2 linked regions of the Drosophila melanogaster genome follow. The protein of the gene in region 2 purifies or fractionates together with the protein of the main gene of each other region. This does not show direct contact. Each region holds a gene or a part of one and is shown on either strand. Other genes may lie near its edges.

Region 1 (5,909 bases), on a different chromosome or scaffold from region 2:
CACGTTGCCAAGTAACAACAAAAACCTTTGGCGTATAGCAATCAATGCAATGTGCAAACAAAATTCTTGCGAAGATTTGCATTTTTTTCTATTGGGATTGGGCCCCCCTGCAAGTCGCACATATGGAGGGTGTTATGGAAAAAAAAATAATATTAGTATTGGAATCAATCTAGATACAGTGGAAATTCACAAAAGTGAACTGTAATAATATTGCATATACGAAGTACAGCATACTATGCGTATACGTAATATTGTCGTATACTTTATACAGCACACTATGCGTATACATAATATTACGCATACGTAAGCATCTTTTTAGAGGAAAAATTCAAAAATATTATTTGTAAATATCAGGTTATAAGCTAGATATTACTTCTTAGGTAGATAGCAGTTCCTTCTCTCGAAGGACCACTGTATCAGCTAGGGAACAAACGCAATAAGTGGAGAACACGTTAATTTCCATTTGGCTTGCGTAGCCGACTCAAGTCGCCAACATGTGAGCCGTCGCAGGCCGGCTGTTGGGGAGCGTTGCACTAGCCGCTGGTGCCTCACATTCCACGACACGTGACCGCTCCGCCGATTGCCGGATAGCCGGGTGGTCGGATTGCCGGGTGGCGGGATTGCTGGATTGCCGATTGTCGAACGTGGAGCGTCCAGCGGCGAACGTCGAGTCAGCGCGCACGCCTCTTGCTGCGGAAAATATAAATAGCGCTGCTATAACTTGACTGCTGATGCAGTGGAATGGGGAGGGGTGGAGCAGGGGGTTTTCCACATCGCCTTTTCACGGGGTGCTAGCAGAATCCGAGACTACACAGTCGACGTCGACGTCGACGACGAAAGTGTTTCGTAACCGTTTTGGGCTAACTACAGCAATTCCTCCCTATACCCTATACCATATTCGAGTATGAGTGTGTCAAAACAAACCAAAAGATGAGTGTTGGCATCCCGGGGCAGAATGTTAGTATAGAAAACACTACACAAACCAGCACACCACAGCAAACAGAGTGGAGTGTGATAAGGGCCACATTACACATACATATTTGCATACTGATAATGGATGTGCCGCAGATTACGGGGTATCCCAGAGGGGTTGGTCGGGGGGGTCTGGCCCACCATCCCGACGGATCCGACTACGATTGGTCCGGACACGTGAATCGGGCGACTCACGTGGATATCGCGCAGTGATCGCGTAATTGAGATTTGCTCATGATCATGGAACTGGAAGCTGTGCAATTGAAACTGCCAAGTGTATAGCCAGATTACATAAGGTAACGATATTTAGTAGAAAATTGCTATGCCCCAGGAGGATAGGTCAGTTATAGGCTCGTACTTTAAAACACTAACATTATACAGTGGTCTACTGACTTAATGCAATATAGTTTTCTTAGTTCTATTATTAGCACTGATAAAGTGCACTTTATGTATTGCACTTTAATCAGTATTTATGTACATACATATGTATTTCATTTCATTTATTCTCCACTTTTCCGGTTTTCTGGCATTTGGTAATCGCCATCGAGAACTGTTTTTATGCGAATTCAATGGAATTTCTTCTTTCGATTCGATACTATTCACTGTTTGTTCCGCGTTAGTGTTTTACTGCCTGGTGAATAGGAAATTACGTAATATCTCCCGACCTTACTTTTTTACAACAACTCGTTGTTTGCCTAGTGTAGTACTTAAATAGCCGTCTTTGTCTTCCACTGCAACTAAGTTGATAGTCACCCCATCCATTCTGATAACCGTATCGCAGTGTTAAGCACTTAATTATGATTTATATAAGCTGTGAAGTGGTTTTGTAATAGCCAACCAGACAGTTTGGTGGCTGGGAAGTTATCGGCACGACCATATATTCCCCTTGTTAAACTATCCAAAGTTTCAAAGCCACGTGATCTGTCGATTTGTTCGTCGTACATTAAATAAATTGGTAATTGTATGCAGATTTAGACGAGTTCAATAGTTAGCTAGCACTGTTTACTGTTTACTCTACTCGAATTAGATTTTCTGGGAATTTATTCTGAACGCAAATATGTTTGTAGAGTGGGGAAACCCAAAAATTCACTGATTGGAACTTCAAATATACATATGTACGTATGTGTATGTACTTTAATGCTATACATTAAAATCAAATCAATAAGCTACATCTTAAGGCAAATACTTTTGCTTCCTTATCAATGTTCTTAAATTTTTAATTACCTTTCATAATGTTAATTAAATACGTAAGGAAATTTCCTCTAGTTATCCACTCTTACATGCAACTTAAAAAAGTGTCTTGCCTAAGCTTTTCATTCAAATCAGTTTTCCCAACTCCCCAGCCATTTGCATGTGTGCATTTGAATGCATTCTCGATTATTAATAATGTGCTGCTGGTTCTCTGAATATTTTGTGTAAGACGCTTGCGTCACCAACCCAACTGGCACACACACACAAGCATACTCACACGAACACATCGAACCCAAAAAGGGTAAAAAAAAATGAATACAACCAGTACCGAGAATCGGAATCAGAATGGGAATAAGAATCGCAATCGAAATCGGACTCACGCGGCCAAAGCACCTCAGTCACCTTACGTGTGTGTGCGTTCTTGTGTGTGTTTGAGCGTCAAGAGCGAACCCGCTGGCAAGAGCTACCCCACCCCCCGCAGCAGGCAATCACGTTCTAGTTTCGAATATGCAGCTCGAAACGATTTTGTTCTTGCCGAGATTGCCGCGCTGATTACTCAACAACAACGGCAATGTGATCGCTTGCAACGGGCATGCTGGTACATGTTCGAAGCGGCGATTGAGAAATTTCACTTTTACTGCATCGAACCGTTCGCAACATGTTGCGAGCGAACACGCTAGGTCGCGTGTATCGGATGCGTGTTGCCACAACGTGACCGCCGAGCAGCTCGTCGGAGAAATGCTTTTACAAATTCAATTGCGATTCAGCCTTCTTTCGAAGCGGTTCAGGCGCTCGCGATAAGTCTCTAGACTATACTACCAAACCATATAATATACAGCCGATCGGGTTCACAACCGCGATAAGCAAGTGAGAGCCGTCGGTCGAGCCGTTAAAAGCATTTCGGCCAAGTGCATCAAGCGCAGAAACGTCGCGTTAGCCAACTAAATCGGTCAAATTGGTTAAACCCCGAACTGCACAAGTGTTTGAAAAACAATTTTCAAAAGATTTGGATAATATCTGCAAGCGCACACAAAAACAATGCCAATTTGTTCGTTCTAACAACAAAACATTATGTCGATTGTCTGCACGCTGGAACAGAAAGTGAACTTTTTCAAAGCGGCTGCAACGACCAAAAATCTGTTGATACTCAAAAACAATACGGATACGAATTACATCAATAACTACAAGCAGGATAATCCCAGCAACAATAAATGTAGGTGTTCAAGTGCTACGAAAGTTATAACAAATAAATCAGTGTTACGAAAAGTTTAAAACTATGTGCTTCTTTGAGCAGCATTTTCGAACTTTCCACGTTTGATCTTGAAATCTGTTGAGAATTTGTGTGAAAACTGATGACAATCACAATATTTAAATATTTCTGCTCTTTTTGCGTAGTACAGTGGCAACTGTTAATCAGTTCTAGAATATTTACTAAACTTAGTCGGCTGAAAACAATAACACACGAAAGATTGAGACGCAAAACAAAATAGCCCGAAAAAGTGTGGGTGAATGGGGGGCTGAGTGGGGTGCGGTGGAATGACTGGCGAAGCTTAGTCATTTTGTTTTTGTGAATTTTGTCAAGATGCCGACTGCAGCGCTGCTCTCTGTGTTGCCCTCTCTGTTGCTCTCCCGTTTAGGGGTTGTCGGCAGAGTCTGGCCGCCAGAGCGCTTAAGTGTACGTGCATGTGTGTGTGTGTGTGTGTTTGTGTCTGCGAGCACATTGAACTGTAAATGCCAATTCGATGGTCATGGTGAGGGTGAGTGAGAAAGAAAGAGAGTGGGAGAAAGATGTCTAAGGGTACGGGAGCGGGGGCGCACTCACACACAGATGTGCAATGTGCGATTTCTTGTTTACATTCTAACACTTTGTCTGTGTGTGTGTGATTGTGCTGGTTCTTCGTCGCCTTTGTCGTCTAATTCTCGCTCCCTCTCTTTCTCGCTCCCACTCGCCGATTCTTGCATCATTCGGCGTAATCATTGTGTAAATGCCTGTGCTAAAAACGAAAGCAAACGGTAAAGCTATAGACGAGGGCAAGCAGCAAGGGCAAGGACCAACGAACAAAGAAAGTTCTGCATGTTTGTGTGTGCGTTGGGCCAGACAAGATCGCATTAGACATTTTGGGGACCCAACGAGTTTTGCGTTGAGTGGCGGACGCCTTGTCAATTTGTTAGCTTATCAAATGCTCAGCCTGATTAGTATTACTAAATATGTATATATTTTCTAAATGTCGCATATGTAGCTAGATAAGAACATTTGAAAGAAATGCCATAAATAGGTGATAAGTGATATTGTTTTGGTAGCAGGAAAGAGATATTCTTCGCAATCTTGGCTTTTAATTGGGGGCAAGGTCTTGTTTGTTTATTATTTTCGGGGCTGCAAAAAGTGTAGTCTGCTTCCAGGCGCAGGAAATGAGTGTTGTACAAATTGGTAGAACGCTTTAATTTGAATTCATAACAGAGAATAGTTGAAATAGTTTAAAAGATCTTAAAAGTGCTATACAATACTTTTTAAAGGTATAAATAAGTTTAGCAATATAATAAAATAAAATACGTCCCTTCTTAAGGAACTATGAATGTCAAAGAGACTAACCTCTCTATCTTTGCATTGCAGTTCCCCGCATCCAAGCTCAAAGCAACAACAGCCATCTGCAACACCAGCAGCAACTGCAGCAGAAACTAGCGCAGCTGCATCACTACAGCCAGCAGAAGCTGAGCGGCAGCGACTTTCCCTACGGGCCACGCCCCCCCACCGGAGGCAAAGAGGAGAAGCTGCTCCTGCTAGCGCCGCCGGGCAAACTCTATCCGGAGGCGTCTGTGTCCACAGCAATGCCCGAGGTCCTCAGCGGCACGCCCACCAACAGCCACAACAAAGCCAACATCGCCATGATGAACAACGTCCGGCTATCCAATATATCGCCGACTCTCTCGATGAACGGCAGCTCCAACGAGGCTTCTAACTGTAAGTGTCCGAGAATATAATGATGCAGTGGCTCTGATCATATCAATTATCTATCCATCTATAGTTCCAAAGCTTGAGAACTAATCCTATGCCCTTCTCTCCTTACAGTGCATCCGTTGTCCATGTACGGAGGATCCATAAGTCCGCAGTCAAATGACAGCGGCATGTCCGACAGTCTGGGCAAATATGTCCCGGGAAGCGGCTATGGAGATGGAATGATGGCCCAGTCGCCCTCACAGGGTGGCAATGGACCGCAGTCGGCGTTGACCGCCGCCCAGAAAGAGCTCTTCTCGCAGCGAAAGCAACGCGAATTCACCCCGGACAACAAGAAGGACGAGAGCTACTGGGATCGCCGGAGAAGGAACAACGAGGCGGCCAAGCGGAGTCGAGAGAAGAGGCGCTACAATGACATGGTTCTGGAGCAGCGCGTCATCGAGCTGACCAAAGAGAACCATGTGCTGAAGGCCCAGCTGGACGCCATACGCGACAAGTTCAACATCTCCGGCGAGAATCTGGTGAGCGTGGAGAAGATCCTCGCCTCGCTGCCCACCAGCGAACAGGTGCTGAGTAACACAAAGCGCGCCAAGATGAGCGGCAGTGGTGGCTCCTCCTCGGGCTCCTCGCCCTCGGGCAGTGGATCGGGCGAGGGATCGCCTCAAGGTGGCCACAATGGCTATCCGGTGGGTCCACCACTATCTCCACTGATCTACGGACCCAATGGCAATGCCCGGCCAGAGGCCACGGTTAAGAGTGTCCACCACATACATCATGCGGGTGTTGCGCCGCC
Region 2 (5,909 bases):
AAATTGAAATATACCAATTTAGTCTTGTGTAAATCTTAAAATATTTGCTTGTTGCTCTACAAAACCTAAGCTCAAAAATATTACTTTTGGAAGAAAAACATTTAAGTGGTGTTCGTTGAGAGGGACGTTTGGATAATCATTATCATTAGGCAGCTAAAATCAAGCATGCAAAAAAAAAGAAATGCATAATTGGCTACAGCGTTTCAGAACAAATTGAACTTGGCAATAAACCTGTACAAACATAATGCAACAATTGCAGTTGCATTAGCCATTGCTGACCAGAAATGCGATGTTCATTTCTAGTCATTTGCTTGGCGATCCAAAACAGATAAGGAACACAAACAATCCATACACACACACATGGTAAGTGATGTAAAAACTATGCACAATTAGTTCCCATTTTGGAACTAGGAGAAGGGGAAATATAATCGTACAGATCAAATAATTTCCATGGCCAATGACGCCAACCAAAGACTATCACATCGGAAATACAAGGAAGGAGACCTAAACTAACGAACTCATATTGCTCCGCATTCAGTCGACCAGGTGACGGCCATGGTCCTGCGGTGTGGAGAAGATAATTGCGTAGATAAGGCCGTCGCGAACCGATTCGGTGGGGTTGCCCACGTTGAACATGAACTTCACGCGATTGCAGTTGGCATCGGGCACACAGGAGTACATGGGATACCAGCCGGTCTTGTTGAACACCACGTAGATCTTGTAGATCTGGTTTCGGTATATGTACACCGGTCGATCGAACGTGATGTCCAGCAGCGAATCGTAACGCACGCGTGCCGTGCAGTGCGTGTATGTGATGCGTGAGCCGTGCATGTCCTGGATGTGGGCGTACAGCACCTCGGTGTATCGTTCCGTAAAACCGGCAGAAGTCATCAGCTCGCCGCACAGCACGCGCGTGGGCACTTGGACGCCCAGGATCCAAATGTTGGTGTCCACCTGGAACGTTACGCCCGCATCCGTGACGCTGGTGTTGCGGAAGTCAAATTGCCGGGTAAGGGAGCGCATACAGTACGCGCGCACCATGTCGTTGTGCGAATTTCCAGCTGCGGATCCAGCTCCTCCAGCTGCAGCGCCGCCAGCGGGCGCCGGTGCGCCTCGATCGCCGCCATCATCATCATTGGCGGGCGCTGGGACTGGCGCTCCGCTCTCGTAGCCCTCGCCGAAGCAGCGCAGTGGTGCTGGCGCAGGTGCGGCATCCGGTGGGACGCCCACCGGTTCCGGCGGGCGGATGACCAATTCCTCGCCTGCGAAGCCGAATCCCGTGCCCACGGATCCGAAACGGGGCGCAATGCCCATCATCATACCGCCGCCGGAGGGTCCTCCGCTGCGAACTGCCGGTCCCGGTCCCGGGAAACAGACGCCCGAGGGAGCGGCTCCAGTGCGATACGAGGAGGACAATTCTCTCTGGGCGTGTCGGTGGCCCGACTCGTAGAAGTTGCGCGTGCTCCGCGACACGCAGAAGCCTTCGGGCATGTGACAATCGTTGAGCGAGGGACTGGAGATCTTAATCAGGATGGAGAGGGCCTCGTGCTGCTGCAGCAGCTTGGAACGGGCCGGTCCCTCCGCGAACTGCTGCGGCGTCATGGTGAGAAAGCGAATCTTTTTGACCGCCTGCCTGAGCATGGCGCCATCGAGAATGGTGCGCTGGGCGTCCATGATGTTAATCATGTTGGCGGCGGCATCGGCCGAAGCGTCGCTATCGATGATTACCAGGTCGTCGGAGCCGGAAGCCACGTCCAGCGGCGGGGAGGCAGCCGTGGGCGCAGCTGCAGCCGCGGCAGCCGCAGAGGAAGTGGAAGCCATCCCAGCGTCCGTTTCGAAGCTGTCAGCCTCGTCGTCCTGGTGCATGTGCTGCACCATGGCCGCCACATCGGGCTCCATCTTGATCTCTTCGACCAGCACATGGCCGGCAGCATTGTCGGGCGATTCCTTGGTCAGCACCTGACCTCCGCTAGCAGTCTCTTCCTGGCCGGACTCGTTCAGGATGCCCCGCTCACTGGCAAACTTCAGCAGGCAGTTGAACAAATCCAGCTCGGAGTCGATGTTCAGGCGATTCTGGTCAAGAATGGCCATCAGGGTGGAGACCTCGATGTCCAGGAAGCTGGGATCGGACAGAACCTCGCGCGTGTTGGCCGCGATCAGATCCATGCTGCTTTGCATGAGGCGCGGCTCATCGAACAGCTTGGCAAACTCGTACGCCCGGCACGCGTTTTTCGGACTAAGATCAGCCCAAAGGAAATGGGTGCAGCGCGTGACCACGTGGGGCAGCATGTACTTCTTGGCCACGTAGCACAGCTCGCAGGCCTTGTCGAAGGACCCAATGGTGATGCGGTCCGTGTAGATGTACTCCAGCATCGCCTCGAACGCCTCCGGCTGCACGTCCGGAATGACGATGGGGTCCGTCTTATCGGGCAGGTTGCCATAGAACATTCGCTCGAACACCGGCGAAGCCATGGCCAGTAGCAGCTTGTGGCCGGCAATGAGCCGCTGGGTGGGCGAAGAACCCACCAGAAAGCGGCAGTCGGCCCACTTCTCCGAGTGGAGCAGGTACTGGCCCCGATCCTTCAGCTCGGTGAGGCCGTTTTGCCAGTCGATGTCCATTGCCTGCGGTGGATTGGCTGGGATTGGGATCACTGTAATCCAAACGTTGTTCGCTCTGATTTGTGTGAATAATCCACCTTTTTGCGAATCGGTTTGGGATTTTGCGAAATTGTTATTATTTTACGATACCGATAATTGAATGCGTGCTTACCTATCGATTGGCTGTCGTACCGATAGCAGAGGTCTGCCAAATGGCGTAATAATTAAAAGTCATGTTATGAGCTTTCTAGCAAAAATACTTAAGCATTTAAGGTATTATCAAGAGTAAACTCAAATCTTTCTTTAGATTTTAAGCTGTGATTTCAAAACTGTGACTCCATAGCAGTCGATAGTTGTATTAAACCATCGAAGTTGCCACACTGGTGAGAGCATGGATGGTATCGAACAGATATCGATTCATGTTCCAGCTCTAGTTCTAATAGCAACAATTTCAAGCGAAAATATTAATTAATTCGGCGCATTTAAGACACGCGGAGAAAAAAGAGCTAGCTCGAGATACAGGATCATTGCTTAGGCGGCCATAACCGAGAGAAAGAGCGAAAAAGGGCAGGCGCTTCAATAATAATAATATCTCTTGTCACCTGCGCCCGTGCGTTTGTGTGTGTGTGTGTTTGCGTGCGTGTGAGTGTCGCGTGTGTTTGTGCTTTGTTCTGCGAGCGTTCCGTTGCGTTTTGGAAATGGCAAAGAAAACCTACGATTTGCTCTTTAAACTGTTGCTGATCGGTGATTCAGGAGTGGGCAAGACGTGCATATTGTTCCGGTTCTCGGATGATGCATTCACGTCCACGTTCATATCGACCATAGGTGAGTAACGGGACCGTACGCACATACTTGCATCTGTCCACCCGCACCGCACACACACACACACGCGCACATGTCAGCTGCACAGCCAGGATATATATACGTGTGTGTGGGTGTGTGACTGGGCGTGGCACTGCCTTATCGACTGGCCTATGCACTGCTTGTTTCGATCGCCTGCGGAGTGGAAAGCGGAGGAGAAGTGAGCAAAATATGCCATCTATGTGGCTATGTAACTCCCTGAACTTGAACTTTTCGTACTAAACTACTGCATGTTCGCAACACGTAACACAGACGTGTGATCATTTGGTTGGAATGAATGCTTCATATACGTCTAATGTAATGAATCATCGTGATATCAATGTCGAACTGCTTTATTTTATTCAATTCCAATGTAATCGATAACACCGCCGTGACGTCATTCGGCTCAAATTGCGTTGGTTTTTCCGCACTACATTTGCTTTCTCGTTCAACCGTTTTTCTCAGGCATCGATTTCAAAATCAAAACAGTCGAGCTGCGCGGCAAGAAGATCAAGCTGCAAATATGGGACACCGCCGGCCAGGAGCGGTTCCACACGATAACCACCTCGTACTATCGAGGCGCCATGGGCATAATGCTGGTCTATGACATAACGAACGAGAAGAGTTTCGAGAACATAGTCAAATGGTTACGGAATATAGACGAGGTAGGTGTTTCCCCTGCGAGTAATGGCCTTTTCTAAAGTCTGAAATCTTCTTCTTTTTTTTTTGTTTTAGCACGCCAACGAGGATGTGGAGAAGATGATCCTCGGCAACAAGTGCGATATGACGGACAAGAGGGTGGTCAACAAGGAGCGCGGCGAAGCGGTGAGCATCCCTCATCCACAGAGTGCCCCCACAACAGCAATCACTGTCAGAGATTAGGAAATATAGTCGTAGTTAGATCGTTAAGCTCTTCTGCCATAGGAGTTGAGTTCGGAAATCGATCATATATTAGTGTGTTTAGCTTTCAAAGCCAACTGTTTTTTACAAGCGAATTCCATGCCCCTTAATAGTTTCCTATTGTTTTGATTTTTTAAGATAAGTTTGCAAATTGAACACAGCGAATATATTCGTTCTCTGACAATCAAGACGAAACTATTTAGGTGCTATAGTATGTCCGTGGTAATGAATGCAAGGGAAAATTTCCGGAGGCATACAATTTATGTTAGAACTATTCTGGTTATTTATTATGATTGTTACTCAATGATCGCACACGCCCCACGTCTGTTTGATCAATTTGTTTACAAAGCCAATAACTTGCTCCCCTTCCCCATCTCTGCCCACGTTTTTTAGATTGCCCGTGAACATGGCATTCGGTTTATGGAAACATCCGCCAAGTCGAACATAAACATCGAGCGGGCCTTCTGCGAGCTGGCCGAGGCCATTCTGGACAAGACATCAGGACGCGAGTCGGCGGAGAATCAGGAGCGCGTGATTATCGATCGCCGGAACCAGGAGAAGGCGCCGGGCTACAGCAAGTGCTGCGCGTAAAAAGCGGCGTTCTAGGCGAACGGGGCGTGGTTTGGCCCGGTTTGTGCTCAGCTGTGCGTGGGGAAGGCGGCGAAGTACGGATTGGATTGGATTAAACTGGACTAGATTGAATTGGAATGGAACGAAACGAATCGAATCGAACCGAAAGCAGTGGGGACCGGTTTCTGAAACCGCTCCGCACGGACGAAGCAAAAAACAAAGCAATAGAGCCGGGGTCATTCGCACGTAGGAAACTTACTTATTACGAGGATACGCAAAATGGAACAAGCAACAGAAACAACCTACCTAAAGTTTAACAACAAGCAACAGATATTGTAATACGAACATTTGGAAGCAACTTTACAAAACTCCGAACGATGGATGGTGGTCGGGCATGGGCCACGTTAGTTAACGCCCACACAACGTGGACGCAAGGATCTGCATATCCATGCCGCACTCGATCGGTTGACTAACGTGGATCGGATAACGAGGATCAGCTCCAGCCACTGTCCAGCCACAAGAAACGATAATGATAGCGCTGATGTCGCTGACGCAGACATAAGCAACTTTTGTAACGTACTTTTGATACACATATAGTCTTACGATTCCTGTACTCAGTCATTCGATCGCTCGCTCGCTCGCTCGTTCGCCACCACTCGCACTCCCCAGCCGCCCCACTTAGTGTTTCGTTTTTGTTTTGCGTTTCAGCCTAGATATAAATAACACCTATACATATTATACATCGGATAGTAGTATATAGCCTATACCTACTTAGCTTGCTTTCGCTTTCTATGTCGACGCCAAGCCAAGCCAGCGAGGAGTTCGATGGGGCGGGTGGTGATGTACGCCCTGCTCTGCGTCCTGGCCACTCAAGCTTTCAAGCCAGATCCTCGGCCAGAGTTGCAGTTCCATAGGGAGTTTCGAGATCGAGGTGTTCCGAAATCGTTTTTGATTATTGCCTGTGCATATATATATATATATATATATATATATATATATAT

What was found. Proteins that work in one complex are often made in the same cells at the same time.
Region 1: the proteins of Rab10 (region 2) and vri purify together in Drosophila melanogaster (affinity purification with mass spectrometry, with the first as the bait; one large-scale study listed by BioGRID). This does not show direct contact.

Annotation. Positions count from the first base shown.
Region 1 is NT_033779.5:5,302,791-5,308,699, forward strand, and holds the start of vri (vrille), read left to right. Parts: upstream 1-2,859; 5' UTR 2,860-3,234; coding exon 3,235-3,376; intron 3,377-4,774; coding exon 4,775-5,122; intron 5,123-5,230; coding exon 5,231-5,909.
Region 2 is NC_004354.4:20,248,335-20,254,243, forward strand, and holds the start of Rab10 (Rab10), read left to right. Parts: upstream 1-3,003; 5' UTR 3,004-3,296; coding exon 3,297-3,423; intron 3,424-3,903; coding exon 3,904-4,103; intron 4,104-4,173; coding exon 4,174-4,263; intron 4,264-4,731; coding exon 4,732-4,929; 3' UTR 4,930-5,909. Other genes in the region: CG17068 (uncharacterized protein), read right to left, coding at 535-2,619.